2 linked regions of the Anolis sagrei genome follow. The protein of the gene in region 2 interacts with the protein of the main gene of each other region in a biochemical or structural test. Links are inferred from orthologs where the notes say so. Each region holds a gene or a part of one and is shown on either strand. Other genes may lie near its edges.

What was found. The genes of interacting proteins can lie anywhere in the genome.
Region 1: the proteins of TRIM28 (region 2) and fructose-1,6-bisphosphatase 1-like form a complex in vitro, tested with the Homo sapiens proteins (2 studies listed by BioGRID). The link is inferred for Anolis sagrei from reciprocal best matches to the Homo sapiens genes TRIM28 and FBP1.

Annotation. Positions count from the first base shown.
Region 1 is NC_090022.1:230,376,542-230,387,077, forward strand, and holds the start of fructose-1,6-bisphosphatase 1-like, read right to left. Parts: upstream 5,520-10,536; 5' UTR 5,438-5,519; coding exon 5,268-5,437; intron 73-5,267; coding exon 1-72. UniProt on the Homo sapiens protein: Catalyzes the hydrolysis of fructose 1,6-bisphosphate to fructose 6-phosphate in the presence of divalent cations, acting as a rate-limiting enzyme in gluconeogenesis. Plays a role in regulating glucose sensing and insulin secretion of pancreatic beta-cells.
Region 2 is NC_090026.1:26,895,475-26,906,578, forward strand, and holds the start of TRIM28 (transcription intermediary factor 1-beta), read right to left. Parts: upstream 5,259-11,104; 5' UTR 5,055-5,258; coding exon 4,742-5,054; intron 1-4,741. UniProt on the Homo sapiens protein: Nuclear corepressor for KRAB domain-containing zinc finger proteins (KRAB-ZFPs).

The sequences.
Region 1 (10,536 bases), on a different chromosome or scaffold from region 2:
ATGTCGTTGGAAAGGACATCTAATTTCTTTACTTGATCTCCTGTCACATTGGTAGAACCGGCCATTCCATAACTGAAGGAAGATGAGAAGAACAGAAGCAAAATCAAGCACTTTTGTTTTTAAAAGGAAGGGCTACGTTTCGACCACACTTTTATCAAACATGACACTGAGACCCCAATAAGACCACATGGGACTTTGTGTCTTGATATCATCTGGCCCCTAAATTGTGGTTTACTTTTTTTTTTAAATGCCACCTTTAAAACAAATTATAAAAATATTTTTATTTGCAACACAACAACTTCTAACAGATCTAGAATATGACAACAGTGTTACTTTCATTTTCTAAAAAGCTGAGAACATGCTTATCTTTCCAACTGAAATCAATAGGATGGGGGGGATCAATATTCTGCCACGATTAAAAAGGTTAAATCATTTTAAGTCCAATTGATTTCACTTGGAAAGCTAAGGGAACAAGTTATGGGTTTTGACTATCTTCAGCCTTCAGGAGCCATTTCATTGTTGAATTTAGTTGAAAAGTTCACATGTGAATAACAAAGATATGCTGATACCAGGCATGTAGCCAGGGGGGGGGGGGCTCGGGAGGCTTCAGCCCCCCCCCCCCCCGAAATTCTCATGGTGGTTCACGAAAAGGCCTTACTGGTGCATTATTTAAACTGTTATGTTTATTCATATCATGATCTGATCACCATACTCAATATATCCCATATGCATGGGGGTATTGGGGTAATGATACAAAAGGTTTGCTAGGCTAGACCCTCTTTCACTCAGACTCAGACCCCCCCCCGAAACTCAGCCCCCCCCGAAACCCCCCCTGAAATTTTTTAGCCCCCCCCCCCCCCCCCCCGAAACGAAATCCTGGCTACGGGCCTGGCTGATACTACATGAAATGTACCTTGAACTGTAAATACTACCTATCTCTAAGGCAACAATGCCGGGCAAAGGCTAAAGCTTACGTGTGGATTCCTCTGAAAACTCATCCCCAGTATATGCAACTTGTCCCCCATCGGGTGCATACAGGCAGTTCCCGAGTTACAAACATCTAACTTACAAATGACTCATAGTTAAGGACAGGGGTGAGACAACAGGAAGTGAGAGAAATCTACCTCTAGGAAGGGAAATTCACTTCTGGGTTATCATGGGGAAAAGGTATCTCCACTGAAACTTTCTAACCAATCCTTGTTTCCACAACAAGAGGATTTTTTTCAAAATCCAGTGATCACAGGAACAGAAAGTGAGAGGAAATCTTCTGAACCGGGGCACAGGTAGCAAAGCAAACTCCACAGGGGTGTTAACCCTTCCTGTGCTATCCAAAGCTTGTGTGTGTGTGTGTGTGTGTAAAGGTTTCCCCTGACATTGAGTCTAGTTGTGTCCAATCCTGGGGGGGTGGGGGTGCTCATCTCCATTTCTAAGCCGAAGAGCGGCATTGTCTGTAGAGACCTCCAAGGTCATGTGGCCAGCATGACTGCATGGAGAGCCATTACCCTCCTGCAGAAGCGATACCTATTGATCTACTCATATTTGCATGTTTTCAAACTGCTAGGTTAGTAGAAGCTGGCCATAACAGCGGGAGCTCACTCCAGCCACCCTGGATTTGAACCGCCAAGCTTTTGGTCAGCAAGTTCAGCAGCTCTGTGGTTTAATCTGCTGCGCCACCAGAGGGGCCATACACACACACACATTTAGCTGGAGTTACACTTAAAGGTATCTGTTCCAATGTACAAACAAAATCAACTTAAGAACAAACCTGCAGAACCAATCTTGTTCATAGCTTGGGGACTGGCTGTATTTAGAATATTTCAGTATCCTAGTTTTGATTAATCCCTACAAAAATTAAAATACAGAGTCCTAGTGAACTGATGTGAATACATAAAAATATCTTATAGTCTGAGTTGTCTCAGTTACACATTAAGCCAATCTTAAACTGGGTGGCTGTGACCTTTCCAGGCTGTATGACCTTGTTCCAGAAGCATTCTCTCCCAATGTTTCTGAAACAGAATGCTTCTGGAACATGACCATACAGCCTGGAAAACTCACAGCAACCCAGTGATTCTGGCCATGAAAGCCTTCGACAACACAATCTTAAAGTGATAAGTGGGTCATAGTATATCAGCAGTAATGCAGACCGCTACTGTGTTGGCTCAGCTTTAAATGAGCTACATTGGCACACGGAGGGAAAGGGCCAACATAACTGAATGAGTAAGAGTGGTAAAGAACTATGTCCCAACAAAGGTACTACAGATGAAGAATGGTGTCAACACTGGTTTCTTCATGCTATTACTACGGAGATTGAGTTATAAACGGTTACGTTTGCATCATAACTTGCTCATGAGAGAGGAAGCACACTTAAGCGGATGTTGGCATATAATATTTCTTAGTGTAATGTGCATTACAAAAGAGATTTTGTTCTATTCAATAAGACAGAAAAAAACATGTTTCCAGCACCCTGTTCCAAAAAAGGGAAGCATTACCATATCAAAAATTACCCGCTTCTGTTCCCTTTGCTGTAGTGCTCTGAAATACCAAAAATCACCTTCTCTATTTAGCCTTAAAGCTGTTTTCAGCCAACTACGCAATGCTTCCTAGCTAGAAACAGAAAAATATATACTGGACAAGATGGAGGCCCCTTCCACACTGCATATAATCCAGATTTTCAAAGCAGGAAATTCCAACTCATAGAGTTGGAAGAGACCTCATGGGCCATCCAGTCCAAGCCCCTGTCAAGAAGCAGGACAATCACATTCAAAGCACCCCCGCCAGATTATCTGCTTTGAACTGAATTATATGAGTCTACACTGCCATATAATCCAGTTCAAAGCAGATAATTTGGATTTTATATGGCAGTGTAGAAAGGGCCCAAGATTGAACTCTTATTCCCATTTACCTCAGAATTAGGTTTATTTAATTTGGAAGGACTGACCACTGTATAGGAATGTAATGTATACTGCAAGTATAACCCACTTTTTGTTTCTTGACAACTCTAGATATGTTGAACTACAATTCCCATCATTTTCCAACTAGAGTGGTGGCCAGTCTTCCAACACATGTGGAAAACGGAATTGGGTCTCTTGTGTCATTTATACTTATATTATTGTTAGCTGGAAACTGCTGCAAACCTGTCTTCAGAATCCCCCCTTACCTACTGGTAGGAGGTCTGTATGTCTAGCTCTGATAAAGCTAGACAAATTATTAATTTATATTCAATGTGTTTAACGCCCTTGGCCATTCTGTTTAAAGTACACCAACAAGGCCCAAAGGCTTTAATAAAATATCCATGTTTAATGTGGCACCTACATAAAAGCAGTATTGCTGACAATTGGAGGCCCAATGGGAGGACATTTCAAAATGAAGGAGCCACAGCTGAAAAGGCTATCTTCACTCCATATATTGCTCTCAGTGATGGGAAATTTATTTATTTATTCATTTACCTTATTTATATCCCGCCTTTCTCTACCCCGATGGGGACTCAAAGCGGCTTACAATCGCTTCACAGTGCCTTAAAACATACAACCTCAGTTAAAACATGAGTTAAAAATCTAAACATAATAAGCATAATAAAATACATTTCAATAAATCACATCATCCAGAGTCGTAGTCTAAAGGCTAATCTGTAGTCAAAATGCAAATATTCCATATTAAGATTCCGGCACTGCTCTATTTTTCAAACGCCTGCTTCCAGAGCCAGGTTTTGACTCTCTTTCTAAACACTAGGATGGAGTGGGCTGCCCTGATATCACTAGGGAGGGAGTTTCACAATTGAGGGGCCACTATTGAGAAGGCCCTGTCTCTCGTCCCCACCAACCGCACTTGTGAAGAAGGTGAGACTGAGAGCAGGGCTTCCCCAGACAATCTTAATCTCCGAGATGATTCACAGGGGAAGATACATTCAGAAAACCTCATATTGAGATTGGTACATATAGAAATGTGTTCCCCCACAAGTATTAAGTTCCTAAGCCAAATGGTTCCAATGCAATGACAATGAAAAGGAAAATCAACTGATTAACCACCTCCATTAAAATCTTTTGGGTAAGTCCCAAATGAAGTACAGGCTGAGCATCCCTTGTCCACAATTTTGAAATACTCTACAATATGAAATTGTCCACACACGTGGCTAAGAATGACTTCTATATTTTCTGATGTTACACTGAGTATAAACTTTGCTTCATGCACAAAACTATTAAAATCTAGTGTAACATTGCCCTTAGGCTATGTGTATGAGGTGCATACAAAACGAAAATCAAATTCATGTTTAGCCTTGGGTCTCATCTCCAAGACATCTTAATATGCATATATATATATATGCAAATAGAAGTATTCCAAAACAAAACACTTTTGGTGCCAAGCATTTCATACAAGGGGACTCCAGCTGAGCTCTTGTTAAGCCTGTCCTCAGCTGTTGAACATTGAGGTAACACATAGTCAAATCTAGTAGATCCAATGGTTCTACTATGATAGCCAACAAGATTTAGGTCCTTAATGTCTCCTACTGGGCACTCATCCTTTTAAGAAGGAGCCAAGGATGTTGGGATCTTAGACAGGGTTTGGTGTTACAGCAGAAAGGAATGGACACAATGTGTCACCTAGAACGATGCTCTTCCTTTAGCCACTACCTTCTTCTACTCACCACTCTCTTTCTAGGAAAGCAGAAGGGGGCTCAGTAGGTCCAATCCACACAACTCTACTCTCAAAGGGCACTTCCAGACTGGTCCTATATCCCAAGATCTGATCTCAGGTTTTCTGTTCATCCCAGATTATCTGGCAGTGCAGAATCATATAATTCAGTTTAAAGCAGAAAACCTGAGGTAAAAAAAACCCCAGGTTTTCTGCTTTTAAAAAACCACAACAACCTAGTGCTTCCAGTGATGAAAGCCTTCGACAATACATCTCCAATACTGTTCATATGGGTGCATCTACACCAGGCATGGGCCAACTTGGGCCCTCTGGGTGTTTTGGACTTCAACTCCCACAATTCTTAACAGCCTCAGGCCCCTTCCTTTCCTCGTGGCTGGTCTTGAGGACGTTAGGAATTGTGGGAGTCCAAAACACCCGGAAGGCCCAAGTTGACCAATGAATGCTGTAAGGTGAAGCTCCTACTATCTGACTTGGCCAAGGATGATAGAAGCTGGAGTGTAGGTACATCAGGAGAGACCAAGAGTGGCAAACATTGTGGGTGTCCACGAGGGGAGGGGAGGGGAAGGGGCTCTGGGGAGAGAAGGGCTCCTCCTCCTCTCTCTCTGTCTGTCACTCACAGGTTGGCGATGCCCGCCTTGCGCACGGCGGTGGAGATGGCCTTGACGGCGGTGCAGAGGGAGTTGAGCAGCTGGGTGAGCTCCCCGGTGCCCTTGGCCTTGCGCCCTTCCTCCATCACGAAGCGGGTCAGCGTGGTCACGTTGGTGTCGAAGGTGGAGCGGTCGGTCATGGTGGCCAAGGAGTGGGAGCAGAGCGCGGACCCAAAATTTGCCCGGCCCGGTCCACGGAGGAGATCCTCCACCAAGGCGCCCTCCCTTTAAAAACCCGGAACTCCGGCCACGAGGAGGAGGGGCGGACACCAGTGGCCCAATCCGGACCCCGCGCGTGGGGAGACGCCTCCTTTGCGGGCCTATTGGCGGTAATAGACAAACCATGAAGAATCTAGACTGTAGGTCAGGCCTGGGCAAGCTTGGGCTTTCCAGGTGTTTGTGACTCCAACTCCCATCATTCCTCGCAGCCTCAGGCCCCTTCCTTTTCTCCCTCAGCTGCTTAAGCGACTGTTTGGTGTCTTTGGGGTCCTGGAACCAAACCCCAGCAGATACAAAGGGTTCTCTGCATCTCATTGCTGAGAAACTCTGTTTTCCTTTTTGAACATGGAAATAATTGTAGCTAAGTGTGAGAAGGACTTGAAGCCTGCCAAATAATCAGATAATTCCACTCAGGCATGTAGCGGGGGGGGGGGGGGGGGGCGCTCGGGGGGGTTCAGCCCCCCCCCCCCCGAAATTCTGATGGTGGTTCGCGAAAAGGCCTTACTGGTGCATTATTTAAACTGTTATGTTTATTCATATCATGATCTGATCACCATACTCAATATATCCCATATGCATGGGGGTATTGGGGTAATGATACAAAAGGTTTGCTAGGCTAGACCCTCTTTCACTCAGATTCAGCCCCCCCCCCGAAACTCAGCCCCCCCCCCCCCGAACCCCCCTGAAAAAAATTCAGTCCTCCCCCCCCCCCCCCCCCAACAAAATCCTGGCTACGGGCCTGATTCCACTGATACTATCTTGCCAGTTCTCTACTTCTGGATGAAAGTAGTAAAAGTAGCACATCTCCGGGTGTTTGATTTTGTCAGAATCACGAGGCAGAGGCATTCAACGCTGGAATGGGGTTCAGATTCTGCAGATTTATCAGGCATATTTATATCATGACCAAATAGTGACATTACAAGCTACTATCTTTTTAATTATTAACCCATCTACTACTCTCAAAGGCACAATAATTTGACTTTCAAAGAAGTTGCTTATGGATACAACAGATATTTCTGCCCTGTTTGAGCATAATTATTAAGAAGTATATGTGTGCGTTTTTAAAAAGTGCACCAAAAAGCTTAACGGGTGTTGCTGTAACTGGCCCTCTAATCTACTTCTTAAATTTGATCCTCTGCATATACTAAGGGTTAGGTCCAATCTAATAAATCCTTATTAGATTAGATTTGTTGAATCAATAGAAGTGAACATGGTGTTACTATTGATTCAACAAATCTATTCTATTTGGACTAAACAAATGTAGGCCCCAAATGAAATTTCCTTTCAGCCCATTTGACAGAGCATATTGTGAATCTGATCATATACATGTCTTGTGACTGACAAATAACATTTCCCCAGAACAGGTTTTGGAAAAGGTTATTTTCTTTGTCAGTAGAAGATCTGAAAAGACTTGTTTGTTGTTTTAGACATATCCACAAACTTAGGCCCCTTCCTCACTGCCATATATAGCAGATAATCCATGTCATCTACTTTAAACTGGATTATATGAGTTTATACTGTCATATAATCCAATTTAAAGAAGATAATTTGGGTTTTATATGCCAATGTAGAAGGGGCCTCAATAGTCTGTTACAGTAATAGAGGGCAGGGTGGCATTCTTTGGTTAGTAAAGATTTTGTTTGATGCTGCTATTGTGTGTCAAGACACTGCTGACTCACGGTGATCCGAAGGAAAGCATATCAGAGTTTTCTTAGCAAGACTTTTCAAGGGGAGTTTGCTGTTGCCTTTTTGTGTGTGTGTGTGTGTGGCTGAGTCACCCAGTGGATTAGTCACTCCACAGGTTTCCATGGCTCAGTGGAAGAGATTCAAACCCTTGTCTCCAGAGTCCTAGGGCCCTTCCACACAGCCATATAACCCAGAATATCAAGGCAGAAAATCCCACAATATCTGCTTTGAACAGGGTTATCTGAGTCCACACTGCCATATATTCCAGTTCAAAGAAGAAAATGTGGGATTTTATTCAGCTGTGTGGAAGGGGCCCTGGGCAGATATTGTGGGATTTTCTGCCTTGATATTCTGGGTTATATGGCTGTGTGGAAGGGCCCCTAGTCCAACACCAAGGAAAATCTTCCAGAAGAATACAAGAAAATGCTGTAAGTGTATATTGAATTTCTAGCTTGGATTTTTCCCCCCAGTTTACTTAATGTAAATGAACATATTGAAAAGCTTTATGACTAGATATGAAACCGCTGGGAGAGGCCTCCCAGAATTTTGGAGTTTGGTGCCACCTATATGCAGATGACACCCAACTCTACTACTCCTTTCCACCTAAAGCCAAGGAAGCTGTCCTGAACTTAAACCAGTGCCTGTCATCGGTAATGGACTGGATGAGGCAAAAACATTGAAACTTAATCCAGACAAGACAGAGGTACTCCTGGCCAATTGGAAGGCAGACCAGAGAATAGGGATCCAGTCTGTGCTGGATAGGGTTACACTCCCCTCTGAAGACACGGGTTCTCAGTTTGGGGACCCTCTTGTACTTGGCATTGAATATGGAGGCCCAGGTATCTGCGGTGGCCAGGAGGGCCTTTGCATAATTAAAACTTGTGTGCCAACTGTGCCCATTCCTTGAGAAGCCAGATCTGGCCATTGTGGTAACATGCTCTATGTGTGGGTGCCTCTGAAGGGTGATCAGAAACTTCAGCTGGCCCAAAGAGCTGAAGCCATGGTCAGGAGAGACCCTTCTCTCTGTCCCACCTCCATCTCAAGCCCAGTTGGTGGAATGAGAGAGAGAGAGAGAGAGAGAGAGAGAGAGAGAGAGAGAGCCTTCCTTCTTGGTGGTTGCCCCGTGACTCTGAAACTCTCTTCTTCCCAGGGATGCCGGAAAGGCTCCCTCCCTGCTGTCCTTCTGGTGGCAAGCTAAAACCTTCTTATTCAGACAGGGTTTTAAAGATCAAGGTTTTAAAGATCAAGCCAGGAGGTGCTGTGGTTTGAATTTGAATATGCATTGAATGGTTTTAAACTGTAAATGTTTAATACTGTTTATATTTAATTCTGCTTTAATGTTTGTATAGCTTTATATTTGGAATTGTGTACTAATGCTTTTATGTTAAGCCACTTTGAGTCCCCTTCGGGAGAGATAAAGCAGAGTCTAAATAGTAATAATAGTAATAATAATAATAATTATTATTATTATTATTATTATTATTATTATTATTTTGGAGCACAATACTCCTGACCTCACAATTGTGTTAAAAAACGAAGTATGGATTGTCGATGTTGCAATCTCAGGTGACAGCAGAATTGAAGAGAAACAACTGGAAAAGCTGACACTGCAAAGACTCTGGCACAAGCCAATAAAGGTGGTCCCAGTGGTGATTGACACACTGGGTACAGTGCCTAAAGACCTTGGCCTGCAGTTAAACACAATTGGCACTGATAAAATTACCATCTACCAGTTGCAGAAAGCCACCCTACTGGGATCTGCACGCATTATTCACCGATACATCACACAGTCCTACACACTTGGGAAGTGTCCGACGTGTGATCCAATACAACAGCCAGCAGAGTTATCTTGTCTGCTGTGGACTCATCTTGTTGTGTTTCAAATAACAACAACAACAACAACAACAACAAAAACAATAATAATAGAAAGTCCAGCTCCCTTTTCCCCAGTAGCATAACAGGGCAGTATATTGACCTTCTTACCAGGCAATTATACAGTGACACATTAAAGGCATTATCACATCATGCTATTATACCATCATTGTTGCATTGTGAAGTCACTAAAAACCCAGTAAACAATCCATTAATGAGCTTTACCAAAAACAATTCAGGCTGGGTCTACACTGCCCTATATATCCCAGGAAATGATTCTAGATTAGGTTTGAACTGGATTATATTGCTTTGAACTGGATTATATGAGTCTACACTGTCAGATAATCTGAGATAAGCAGATACTTGGGATCAGATCCTGGGATATAGAACAATGTAGATCCAACCTCAGTAACCAGGTGCTGATAGCTCATGGTATTTTATCTGTGAATTAGTGGTTTGAGTGTCGGCAGGTTATCCCTTTGTCAAGGATTCCCTAGGAAATCTGGCCTGTTACTTCTGGTGCTTGGACAGGGAAGATAGCTTTTCTGGTATTTTTCATTTCCTCTAATACACTCTTCCAAATTCAGATTTTTTTCCTGTTATGTTGTCATAATCTATAGCACACCCTATCATTATAGCAATGTTCTATCATAACACTATTAATTCTTTAAAAAATTAGACACGAAGAAGTGGGGTGGGGTATAAGGCAGGTGGCAGTGATGCATCCATGCAGATGACAAAAATATGCTGTGTAGCTCCAGCAAGGGTGCGATAGAGAGCATCCACAATCAGCAACTTTCAGAAGACTGGCCGGAGCTGATTGCCAACAGAATAATATGTCATAAAACGTTGGTGTGATAAGTCCCTAAGGCAATTACAGTAGCACAGATAATGCAGTAGCCTAAATAGCCAACTACCATTGTTATTAGGATTAGAGTGTAAGTGCATTGGAACCTGGCCAAATCATTTTAAACTTCACAGATAGTGTGTCATTCCCCCATCCTTCCCCCAAAGAGCTAACTGGTGCAGTATGATTTATATACCACCTAAAAGTTACAATGATTCAAACATTGTAGAAATACGAATTTAAATTTTAAAGAAAGAAAATAATCAGATTGGTTGCAAATCACCTATTCACCCAAGCTGTGCTCACAAAAGCACACAACATGAACATGTGAGGAGGTAAGGAAAAGATTCCATCTTCAATACAGCTCTCCACAACTGTGGCTGGATCTATACTGCCATATAATGTAGTTTATACTACACTGAACTGCATTCTACACTGGCCATATAATGCAGTTCAAACTGCATTATACACTCAGTGTAGAATCAGCCTTTGCTAGACATCACTGCAACCGTGTGTTTGAAAGACCTAGTCATAGCTGCCAAATACATGGTTAGTAAAGAATGTGGTGCCTTTATTAAGGATTGAATTATAGCAATAGGGTCTTGTGATGCTCAC
Region 2 (11,104 bases):
CTCATACAGACAAGAGTTCTTTCTCCCACCCTGGACATTTCAAAGATATATAAACCCAATTTTTCTAGTTTCTAACAGACCTCACAAGCTCTGAGGATGCCTGCGATAGATGCAGGTGAAATATTAGGACAGAATGTTTCTGGAACATGGCCATACAGCCCAGAAAACATACAACACAGTGATTCCGGCCTTGAAAGCCTCCGACAATCTATACATAGCATTTAATTGCCTTATAGCTTCAAAGCCTGGCTGATTGCTGCCTGGGGGTAACCAGGGCCACCACTTCTGCACAGCGAATCATTTGTTTCCCTCTCCCTTCATTGGAAGAACCTTGGGGAGAAGGGGTGGGATATAAATAAAGCTTTATTATATTATTATAAATATTATAAATCCCACTGCCTTAAGAAAGCTCAGAGCGTTCTTGGGGATCCATCTCACCCAGCATATTATTTTTATTATTATTATTGCCATGGTATAGGGTGATAAAGACAAACAGACTAAAGCAGTGTTTCTCAACCTGGGGGTCGGGACCCCTGAGGGGGTCACGAGGGGGTGTCAGAAGACCATCAGAAAACACAGTATTTTCTGTTGGTCATGGGGGTTCTGTGTAGAAAGTTTAGCCCAGTTCTATTGCTGGTGGGGTTCAGAACGCTCTGATTGTAGGTGAACTATAAATCCCAGTAACTACAACTCACAAATGTCAAGGTCTATTTCCCCCAAACTCCACCAGTGTTCACATTTGGACATGTTGAGTATTCGTGCCAAGTTTGGTGCAGATCCATCATTGTTTGAGTCCACAGTGCTCTTTTGATGAAGGTGAACTACAACTCCAAAACTCAAGGTCAATGGCCACCAAACCCTTCCAGTATTTTCTGTTGGCCGTGGGAGTTCTGTGTGCCAAATTTGGTTCAATTCCATTGTTGGTGGAGTCCAGAATGCTCTTTGATTGTAGGTGAACTATAAATCCTAGAAACTACAACTCCCAAATTACAAAATCAATCTCCTCCCAAGCCCACCAATATTCAAATGTGGGCGTATTGGGTATTTGTGCCAAATTTGGTCCAGTGAATGAAAATACATCCTGCATTTCAGATATTTACATGACGTTTCATAACAGTAGCAAAATGACAGTTATGAAGAAGCAATGAAAATAATTTTATGGTTGGGGGTCACCACAACCTGAGGAACTGTATTAAGGGGTCACGGGATTGGAAATGTTGAGAACCACTGGACTAAAGGATACTGTTATCCTATAGCTGTGGCTATACTGAACTCCGTGGTTCTGCATTAATGTGGAATTGAGGGCTGTGTGCTGGGGAGAGGCATTTAATTTCGTTCTGAAATAGCACAATGATGAATAAAGCTATTCTATGGGTTGCTCTAAGTGTTTCAGGCTGTATGACCAGGTTCCGGAAGCATTCTCTCCTGATGTTTCGCCTGCATCGGTGGGAGGCATCCTCAGACCTCACGATCCCAGAGGACGCCTGCCATAGATGCAGGAGAAACGTCAGGAGAGAATGCTTCTGAAACATGGCCATACAGCCAAGAAAACACACAACAACCCAGTGATTCCGGCCATGAAAGCCATCAACAATACAAAGCTATTCTATTCTAGCATGAGGGAGATGGCACACCACTGCGCAACCCCCTCCTCCTTCACCTTCCACCAAAGCTGCGCAGGAATTGCCCACCTCTCGCGAGATTGCTCCCGCGGCGGGCGCCCCCTCGTCGGAATGCACGTGGCCACGCCCCCCTTCGCTGCGCCTCCGCCGCCATAGAGGCGCCTCCACCACCAAAGAAACGGATGGATCTCAAGGGAAGGAAGGAGGGAGGCAGGCTGGAAAGGACGTTGTGCAAATGATCTCTCCCATTCCTTCTCAAGAGACCAAAACACACCTTGCAAACAAGGAACACATTGCGAGGGAGGTTTTTACAAAGGACAATGCAATGTGCAAAGGCCCTCTTCCTTCCACACGAGGCCGGATATCTTTTTCTCCCCAATACAAAGCCTGCTTCCACCCCCCCCCCCCCCCACAAAATATCTCCCTCCCTTTTCCTGCTTCTCCTCTCCTTTAAGGGAGGAAAGCGAGGTATAAATACAAAAAATAATTCTCTTTCACAAAACAGCAAGGGGTTCTTTCTCTTTCAAGACAAGAAAGATATAATAGTAGTAATATTCTCAAGTTTCTTTCACAAAACGAAAAGAGTTCTCTTTCAAGAAAGCGAGGTATAAATCCAAAAAATAATTCTCTTTCACAAAACAGGAAGGGTGTCCTCTTTCAAGACAAGATATAATAATAATAATAGTAATAGTAATCTCAAGTTTCTTTCACAAAACAAGAAGTGTTCTCTTTCAAGAAAGCGATGTATAAATATAATTATCCCTCGTTTTCATGAAAGAAAAGGAAACTTCTCATTTTGTGAAAGAAAACCTGAGAAAATGATGATGATTATATTTATACCTCATTTTCTTCTCTTGAAAGAGAAGGAAAGCCTTCCCATTTTGTGAAAGAAGCCTGTACTACTAGTACTATTCCTCACTTGCTTCTCTTGAAAGAGAAGGAAAGCCTTCTCTCTTTGTCAAGGGAACTTGAGAATATTATTATTATTATTATTATTATTATGCCCCGCTTTCTTCTCTTGAAAGAGAAGGAAACTCGAGATTATATTATTACCATTATTACTATATATGCCTAAATTGCTTCTCTTGAAAGAGAAGGATACTCTTCTTGTTTTGTGAAAGAAACCTGAGAATAATTGTATTATATTTATAACTCTCTTTCTTCTCTTGAAAGAAAAGGAATCTTCTCATTTTGTGAAAGAAACTGGAGAATTATATTATTATACATTTATACCTTGATTTATTCTTTTGAAAGAGAAGGAAACTCATAGTTTTGTGAAAGAAACTTGAGAAAATTATATTAGTGGTATTATTAATTATATATTTATACTTCGCTGGCTTCGCTTGAGGAAACCCTTCATTTTTTGTGAAAGAAACCTGAGAAATATATAAAAACAATAGCAATATAATTCTCTTAGGTTAATTTCATAAAGCGAGAAGGGTTTCCTTCTCTTTCAAGGGACGAAAACGAGGTATAATAATAATAATATGCTTCTTTCACAAAACGAAAATGTGGAATGATATTACAACATTATCTTAAGTTTCTTTCAAAGTGAGGAGGGTTTCCTTCTCTTTCAAGAAAAGAAAATGAGGTATAAATATATAATAATAATAATAATAATTCTCTAAGGTTTATTCCCCAAAACGAGAAGGGTTTCCTTCTCTTTCAAGAGATGAAAGTGAGGAATAATAATAATAATAATAATAATGGCTTCTTTCAAAAAATGAGGCTTCTCTTTTTCAAGAGAAGAAAACGTGGTATAATAATAATATAACAACAACAACAACATTCTCTTAGGTTTCTTTCAAAGTGAGGAGGATTTCCTTCTCTTTCAAGAAAAGAAAATGAGGTATAAATATATAATAATATAATTCTCTAAGGTTTATTCCCCAAAACGAGAAGGGTTTCCCTTCTCTTTCAAGAGACAAAAGTGAGATATAATAATAATAATCATAATAATCATAATAAAAATAATTTAATAAAAATTATTTGCTAAATAATAATAATCATAATAATAATAGAGGCTTCTTTCACAAAACGAGGCTTCTCTATCAAAAGAAAACGTGGAATAATAACAACATTCTCATAGGTTTCTTTCAAAGTGAGGAGTGTTTCCTTTCAAGAAATATGAGGTATAAATAGATAATAATATAATTCTCTAAGGTTTATTCCACAAAACAAGAATTTCCTTCTCTTTCAAGAGAAGATATAATAATTATATTTATATCCGCCTCTTTCATAAAACGAGAAGGCTTTTCTTCTCTTCCAAGAGGTAGAACTATAATAATACAATTATTTCTCAGATTTCTTTTACGAAGCGAGAAGGGTGCCTTTCTCTTTCAAGAAAGCAAGGTATAAATATAATTAGCAATAGTAATTCCTTGGGTTTATTCCTCTCACCAAGAAGATAGAATAATATAAAGGGTGTCTTTCTCTTTCAAGAAAGCAAGGTATAAATATAATTAGCAATAGTAATTCCTTGGGTTTATTTCTTTTACAAAACGAGAAGGGTGCCTTTCTCTTTCAAGAAAGCAAGGTATAAATATAATCAGCAATAGTAAATCCTTGGGTTTATTCCCATCACCAATAAGATAGAATAATATTAAGGCTTGTCTTTCTCTTTCAAGAAAGCAAGGTATAAATATAATTATAGTAATTCCTCTGTTTATTTCTCTCGCCAAGATGATAGAATAATTCTCTCCTTAGGCCTAATTCCCTCACTAATGGAGGGGCTTTCCCTCCTTGAGTATCTTAGGCCCCTCCTTCCACAGGGCTGTATAAAATCCACATTTGAGCTGGATTATGTGGCAGTGTGGACTCAAGATAACTTAGCTCAAAGCAGATATTGTGGAAGGAGGGGATAATGGTTTGATATATGGTTATATGGCTGTGTGGAAGGGCCTGGGGGCAACTTGGGCCTTGCAGGTGCTTTGGACTTCAACTCCCACCATTCCTCACAGCCTCAGGCCGCTTCTTTTTCCCCCTCAGCCTGAGGGGGAAAAAGAAGCGGCCTGAGGCTGTGAGGAATGGTGGGAGTTGAAGTCCAAAGCACCTGCAAGGCCCAAATTGGCCCATAGATAAGAAAGAGGGCGGTGACTAGGAGGACACCTGCAGCTCACCTTGCCCTTCCTTGTTGTTTCCTCCGCCGGCGGGCTCGACTTTGACGCACTCCTTGCAGACGCTGTGGAGGCAGGGCAGGAGCCTTGGGTCCCGCTCGGAGCGGAGTTTCTCCCTGCAGACGGCGCACTTCTCCAGTAGGTCGAGGCCTTCCACGTTGAGCGGGGCGCCCGCGGCGGCGGAGGAGGAGGCAGAGGCCGAGGCGGCGGAGGAAGAGGCGGCGGAGGAGCGCGGCTGCTTCTCCCCAGTGGCGGGTCCTCCTCCGCCACCGCCTCCAGTCTCCGCCGGAGCAGGGGCCGTGGCAGAGGCCGACATGATCAAGGGGTGGCTGCGGCTGCTGCGAAAGGAAAGGCGGAGGGTGATAAGGGCCTTCCGGGCGGCCTGTCTTCTCTAGGAATGGGATTGGAATGGAAGGTCGGCCCGCTACTCTAGGCCTCGTTTCTCCACCACCACCGCCGCCGCCTCCTCTCTTTCTCTCGCTCTCCTGCAGCCCCGCCCACTCGCCGCAATGAATGGCGGGTACATCGAGCCCAGGCAACGTTCGGTCGTTCTAAAGGCGGGACTTTCCTTCCCTTAACCAATCAGTGTCTCTCAAAACAATGAAGGATGGGTTTGGCATCCATTGGCCGTCGGGAAATGAGATAAATGGTCCAATCAAATCCCTCTTCGCTCCGGCACGGGTCCAATTGGAACAAAGCGGGACTAGGGGAAAAAAAATGTCAAGCCGCTCTTTGAAGGCAGGATGTAAGGAGGAAAAAAAAGGGGGGGGGGGGGGGTTAAGAGATTGTAACCATAGCAACCAGTCTGTGGAGGAGTTGGGCCAAAAGGAGACAGCAAAGGCCATGGATAAAGCAAAGTAAAGGTGTCCCTGGATGAGATGGACCAATTCCTCTCTTTTGTTGTATCCTCCATGTTGGAAGATCAGAGGAGCTTTCCTCCAAGCATTATTAAATGGCCGGTGCATAGGCTGGATCTGCTCACTGCTATATAAAATCCGCATGGTCTGCTTTGAAGTGGATTATATGGCTGTGTAGACTCAGGTAATCCAGTTCAAAGCAGATTATTTGATTTGATAATCTGGATTATATGGCAGTATTATTTATTTATTTACGAGATTTATATGCCGCCCTTCTCACCCCGAAGGGGGCTCAGAACGGCTTACAAGTAATATGTAAATACAATATTATTATTATTATTTTTGTCGTGTCAGGAGCAAGTCGCTTCTGGTGTGAGAGAATTGGCCGTCTGCAAGGACGTTGCCCAGGGGACGCCTGGATGATTTGATGTTTTTATCATCCTTGTGAGAGGCTTCTCTCATGTCATAGAATCATAGAATCAAAGAGTTGGAAGAGACCTCATGGGCCATCCAGTCCAACCCCCTGCCAAGAAGCAGGAATATTGCATTCAAATCACCCCTGACAGATGGCCATCCAGCCTCTGCTTAAAAGCTTCCAAAGAAGGAGCCTCCACCACACTCCGGGGCAGAGAGTTCCACTGCTGAACAGCTCTCACAGTCAGGAAGTTCTTCCTCATGTTCAGATGGAATCTCCTCTCTTGTAGTTTGAAGCCATTGTTCCGCGTCCTAGTCTGCAAGGAAGCAGAAAACAAGCTTGCTCCCTCCTCTCTGTGGCTTCCTCTCACATATTTATACATGGCTATCATATCTCCTCTCAGCCTTCTCTTCTTCAGGCTAAACATGCCCAGTTCCCTAAGCCGCTCCTCGTAGGGCTTGTTCTCCAGACCTTTGATCATTTTAGTCGCCCTCCTCTGGACACATTCCAGCTTGTCAATATCTCTCTTGAATTGTGGTGCCCAGAATTGGACACAATATTCCAGGTGTGGTCTAACCAAAGCGGTTAGACCTCATGTCCCCACATGAGGAGCTGGAGCTGATAGAGGGAGCTCATCCGCCTCTCCCCGGATTCGAACCTGCGACCTGTTGGTCTTCAGTCCTGCCAGCACAGGGGTTTAACCCACTGCGCCACCGGGGGCTCCGCATAATTAATAATAACAACAATAAGCTGGCACCAAGTCTGGCCAGAGCAAAGACAGAAGGGAGCAGAAGACACTTCCATCTTGTCTTTACTAATAATATAATATAGTATAGTATATATACATATAATATTTATAATATTATAATGTAATACAATATAACACTAGTAATAATAATTCAATATTATAATTATAATATATTTACATTACATGTAATATTACTAATAATATTACAATATAATGGTATAGTGCAATGTAGTAATATATACTGATATTGTACTATGCTAATAATATAATATATTGTATGAAAATATATATTGTAAGCCGCTCTGAGTCCCCTTCGGGGTGAGAAGGGCGGCATATAAATGCCGTAAATAAATAAATAAATAAGCTTTATTTATACCCCGCCACCATCTCCCCAAAGGGAGTTTTTGAGTTTTCTGGGCTGTATGGCCAAGTTCCAGAAACATTCTTTCCTGATGTTTCACCCACATCTATGGCAGGCATCCTCAGAGGTTTCGAGGTCTGTTGGAAACAAGACAAGTGACGTTTATATATCTGTGGAATGTCCAGGGTGGGAGAAACAACCCTTGTCTGCTTGAGGCAAGTGTGAATGTTGCAAATCGCCACCTTGATTAGCATTTAATGGTATTGCTGCTTTGAAGCCTGGCTTGTGCTGCCTTGCATCGGCTCTTCTAAACTGGGTTCTATGGGTCAATGGATATCTGCTAAAATACAGTAAAACAGTTTAAACCAACCACAGACATCTTAAACCTTTGTCCATTCTTCCAAAATGTTCCCAAGACCTCTGAGCTTTCAAGTCTTTCATACAAGAGAGTGAACAATGTGAACATCAGGAGGAGCTGACTTCCAAAATTAAAATCCTGCAAAACAAAATGAACAGAGGCATGAGCCAACAGCTGAGTTCTTAATGTCTGGTGTCAAATTAGCACAAAGCTGTAGAAAGGGTATGAAGAGAGTAAAATGGCAGGAGCTGCAAAGGCAAGCATTTCACCCAGCACTTGGTGAAAAGGGAGAGAGAGAGATTGATTGATTGCACACCTGGGGAAAACAATGCCGTTAACAACATTGTTTTATTTCAAATGTGGAATGTGAAGAGAGGAACTCCACCCCCAGTTTTCAAGTTTCAAATGTTTCCCATTGCTGGCTATTCTTCTTCACCTCCTTCCAATCTGAAATGGTATGCAAATAATAACCTCAGTTGAAAATTGGGAATGGTTCCCATGATGAGTCTATTTTGATTTTTTTTCTTTCGCCAATCAGGATTCTATTCTATTGTCTGTACTGTCTTGTCTTGTTTGAAAAGGAAGTGGATTTGAGAGTCTACCATCCCTATTTCACAGATATAAACTGGGATGTGTGTGACTGAACATCTGAGTGTGACCAAAAAAGTGTGACCAAGCAAAGCGAAGGCAAGAATTATTAATGAGAAAGAACATGTACACCTCTTATTTTAAACAGAGGAATCCTGAATTTTATGTACTGGGTTTAGCAAAGCCTTATAACAGGGAAAGAAAAATGCTGACCAATAAATGCAATACTCATTGTGCACATGCATGCACACATGCAGTAGGAGTACAGCTGCAGTGGGGACAAAATGAAGACTGTTCCCATAAATATTCTGCCCACCCCCAGAAATATTTCTTCAATCCCTATATTCCTAGTATTGCAAGAATGTGACACTGAAAATAATACTTACCTAGAACTCTATGTTTGTGTACTGCCATTCTCTTAGTAATTTTGCCTGCCTTTTCCTTTTGATATCTAAACTGTATTTCTAAATGATCAACTGTGGTTTTATGTTACTGCAAGGCTAGAAATTTGGGGACTGGAGGAAAATTTGAGGGGAAGAATTCTAATGTGGGGAATGCCATCATTTGACAAATTGTCCTCCTTTCCTCTAAGGCAGTGTTTCCCAACCTGGGGGTCAGGGCCCCTTGAAGGGTTGCAAGGGGGTTTCAGAGGGGTCGCCAACGACCATCAGAAAACATATATTTCTGATGGTCTTAGGAACCTCTTTGTAGAAAAGGCTGAAGATCTCTCTGCCTGTCCTTCTCTTCCTTTTTGGAAAAAGACATGGAATCATCCCACCAAAAGCCCTCCTCTGCCAGCCTCTCAGCCGACCTCTCAATCAAGGGGAGGGTTGTTTCTGAGACTCCAAGTGGGAGGGGAGAGAAGGTGTGCTCTGCGAATAGCAGGTGTGCTCGGCACATGGTGCGCATATGTGGATGAGGGAAAGCATGTGAGGGCTAATCCTGAGACTCCAAATGGAGAGGCGAGAGTAGGTGTGCTTGACACATGGCAGTTTGGTGCGCATGTGTGGGCGAGGGAGAGCGTGTGAGGTTACAGGGAGGTTCGCACTAGCGAGTCCCTTCAAGACATGGGAGTTTTGTGTGTGAAGTTTGGCCCAATTCTATTATTGGTGGAGTTCAGAATGCTCTTTGATTGTTGGTGAATTGTAAATCCTAGTATCGGGTATTTGTGCCAAATTTGGTCCAGTGGATGAAAATACATCCTGCATATCAGATACTTACATTGTGATTCATAACCGGGTCTGTGGCGCAGCTGTCCGAGTGTCAGCTGCATTAAGATCACTTCTGACCACAAGGTCATGAGTTCGAAGCCAGCCCGGGTCGGAGTGAGCTTCCGACCAATTGTGTAGCTTGTTGTCAACCTTTGCAACCCGAAAGACAGTTGCATCTGTCAAGTAGGAAAATTAGGTACCACCTATGTGTGAGGAGGCTAATTTAACAAAATTTACGAGGCTATAAAAAAGACTCCAGCAAAGCACTCCAGCAAAAGCATGCGGGGAATGCGGAAGTACTTCATCAGTGTCGCAGATGGACGATGAAAGCAACAGCTCCCCTGGCAGCCAGAAAAAGTTAAAGCCTCTGTCTGTTTGTCTATATCTGTTGTGTGTCTTTGGCATTGAATGTTTGCCATATATGTGTACATTGTAATCCACCCTGAGTCCCCTGCGGGGTGAGAAGGGCGGAATATAAATACGGTAAACAAATTAAATAAATAAATAACACTAGCAAAATTACAGTTATGAAGTAGCAACTAAAATAATTTTATGGTTGGCAGTCACTGCAACATGAAGAACTATATCAAGGGGTTCCGGCATTAGGTAGGTTGAGAAACACTGCTCTAAGCGCCACAGATCCTGGACTTCCCAGTATGTTCAAGCAAAAGTAACCCGCTGCAGCTTCTCTTATCAATTCTTATCTTGACCACAGTCTAATGTTGCTTGATCATATCTATCCTGGTGTTCATCTGTGAAACATTGAAAGAAAAAAGATTTCTGCTTTGAGTAACAAAGCCCATTTCTTTCCAGGAGACAAATCCAATGTTGGCTTGTTTGTTTCCAACAGAAATTAGTTGTATCCTGCAATCTCTTCATCAACATTTTAAGGCAGATGATAGCAACAGCTTAATAAGGAGAAAACCAACCATAAAACTTATGTAAACATCAGATTTAAAAGAAATGCATAAAACCACTGCAAACGTCAGATTAAAAAGAAAGGCGGAAAGTGATTATAATAAAGATTCCCAGTCAAAGCAGCTGCTTTGTTCCTGGCTTTTAGGAAATGTGAACTTTTTTGGACTGCACAGGGTGGGGAAAAGTTTACAAGGCAAAGGATCCAGATAGAAGCCTTAAAGCAGCACCACTTGTGTTGGTCTCACAGTCTGACAAAGGTAGGGTTGTGATTTATGTGTGTAAGAAATTTGTGTGAATCCTAGTAGCATTGAAAACCAGTTCCTATTTCAATCCTATTTATAGCTGAAGTTTCAAGAGATCTAAACCAGTGTTAGATATAATATTTCTAGGAGCTGGTGGATGTCTCCCCTCCCCTGAACTTTCTTATATTGTTGTACACCAGTTTAAAGGATTCCACTGATGACATGCAGAACGGCCTTGGAAAAACAAGAGAAGCTTGTTCTCTTTTCCCATAATCTTATCAGTCCAACCATAACATTAAATAATCCAGTCCTGGGGAATGCAAAAGCATAAATACAAGAGGTTTGAAAACTAGCAAGGCAGAAAAGGCAGGCTACAGACAGCAAGGAAAAGAAATAGTTGTTTCAGTAGGGAAATGGTATCAAGGGGATTATGGAAAATCTATACTTGCATTATAATTTTAAAACTAGAAGTTATCTAATACTGACCTTATTCTAATGATTTAACTCTGTTCATCCAAACTGTACATGCATTTCAATTTATCCAAGTTAAGGTTGTCTGAACTTAATCTATCAATTTACACAGTTTGACACTACAAACTCAATGGCTCAGTGTGATGGGATCTTGGGATTTGTAGTTTGGTGAGGCACCAGAACTCTTTGGCAGAGAA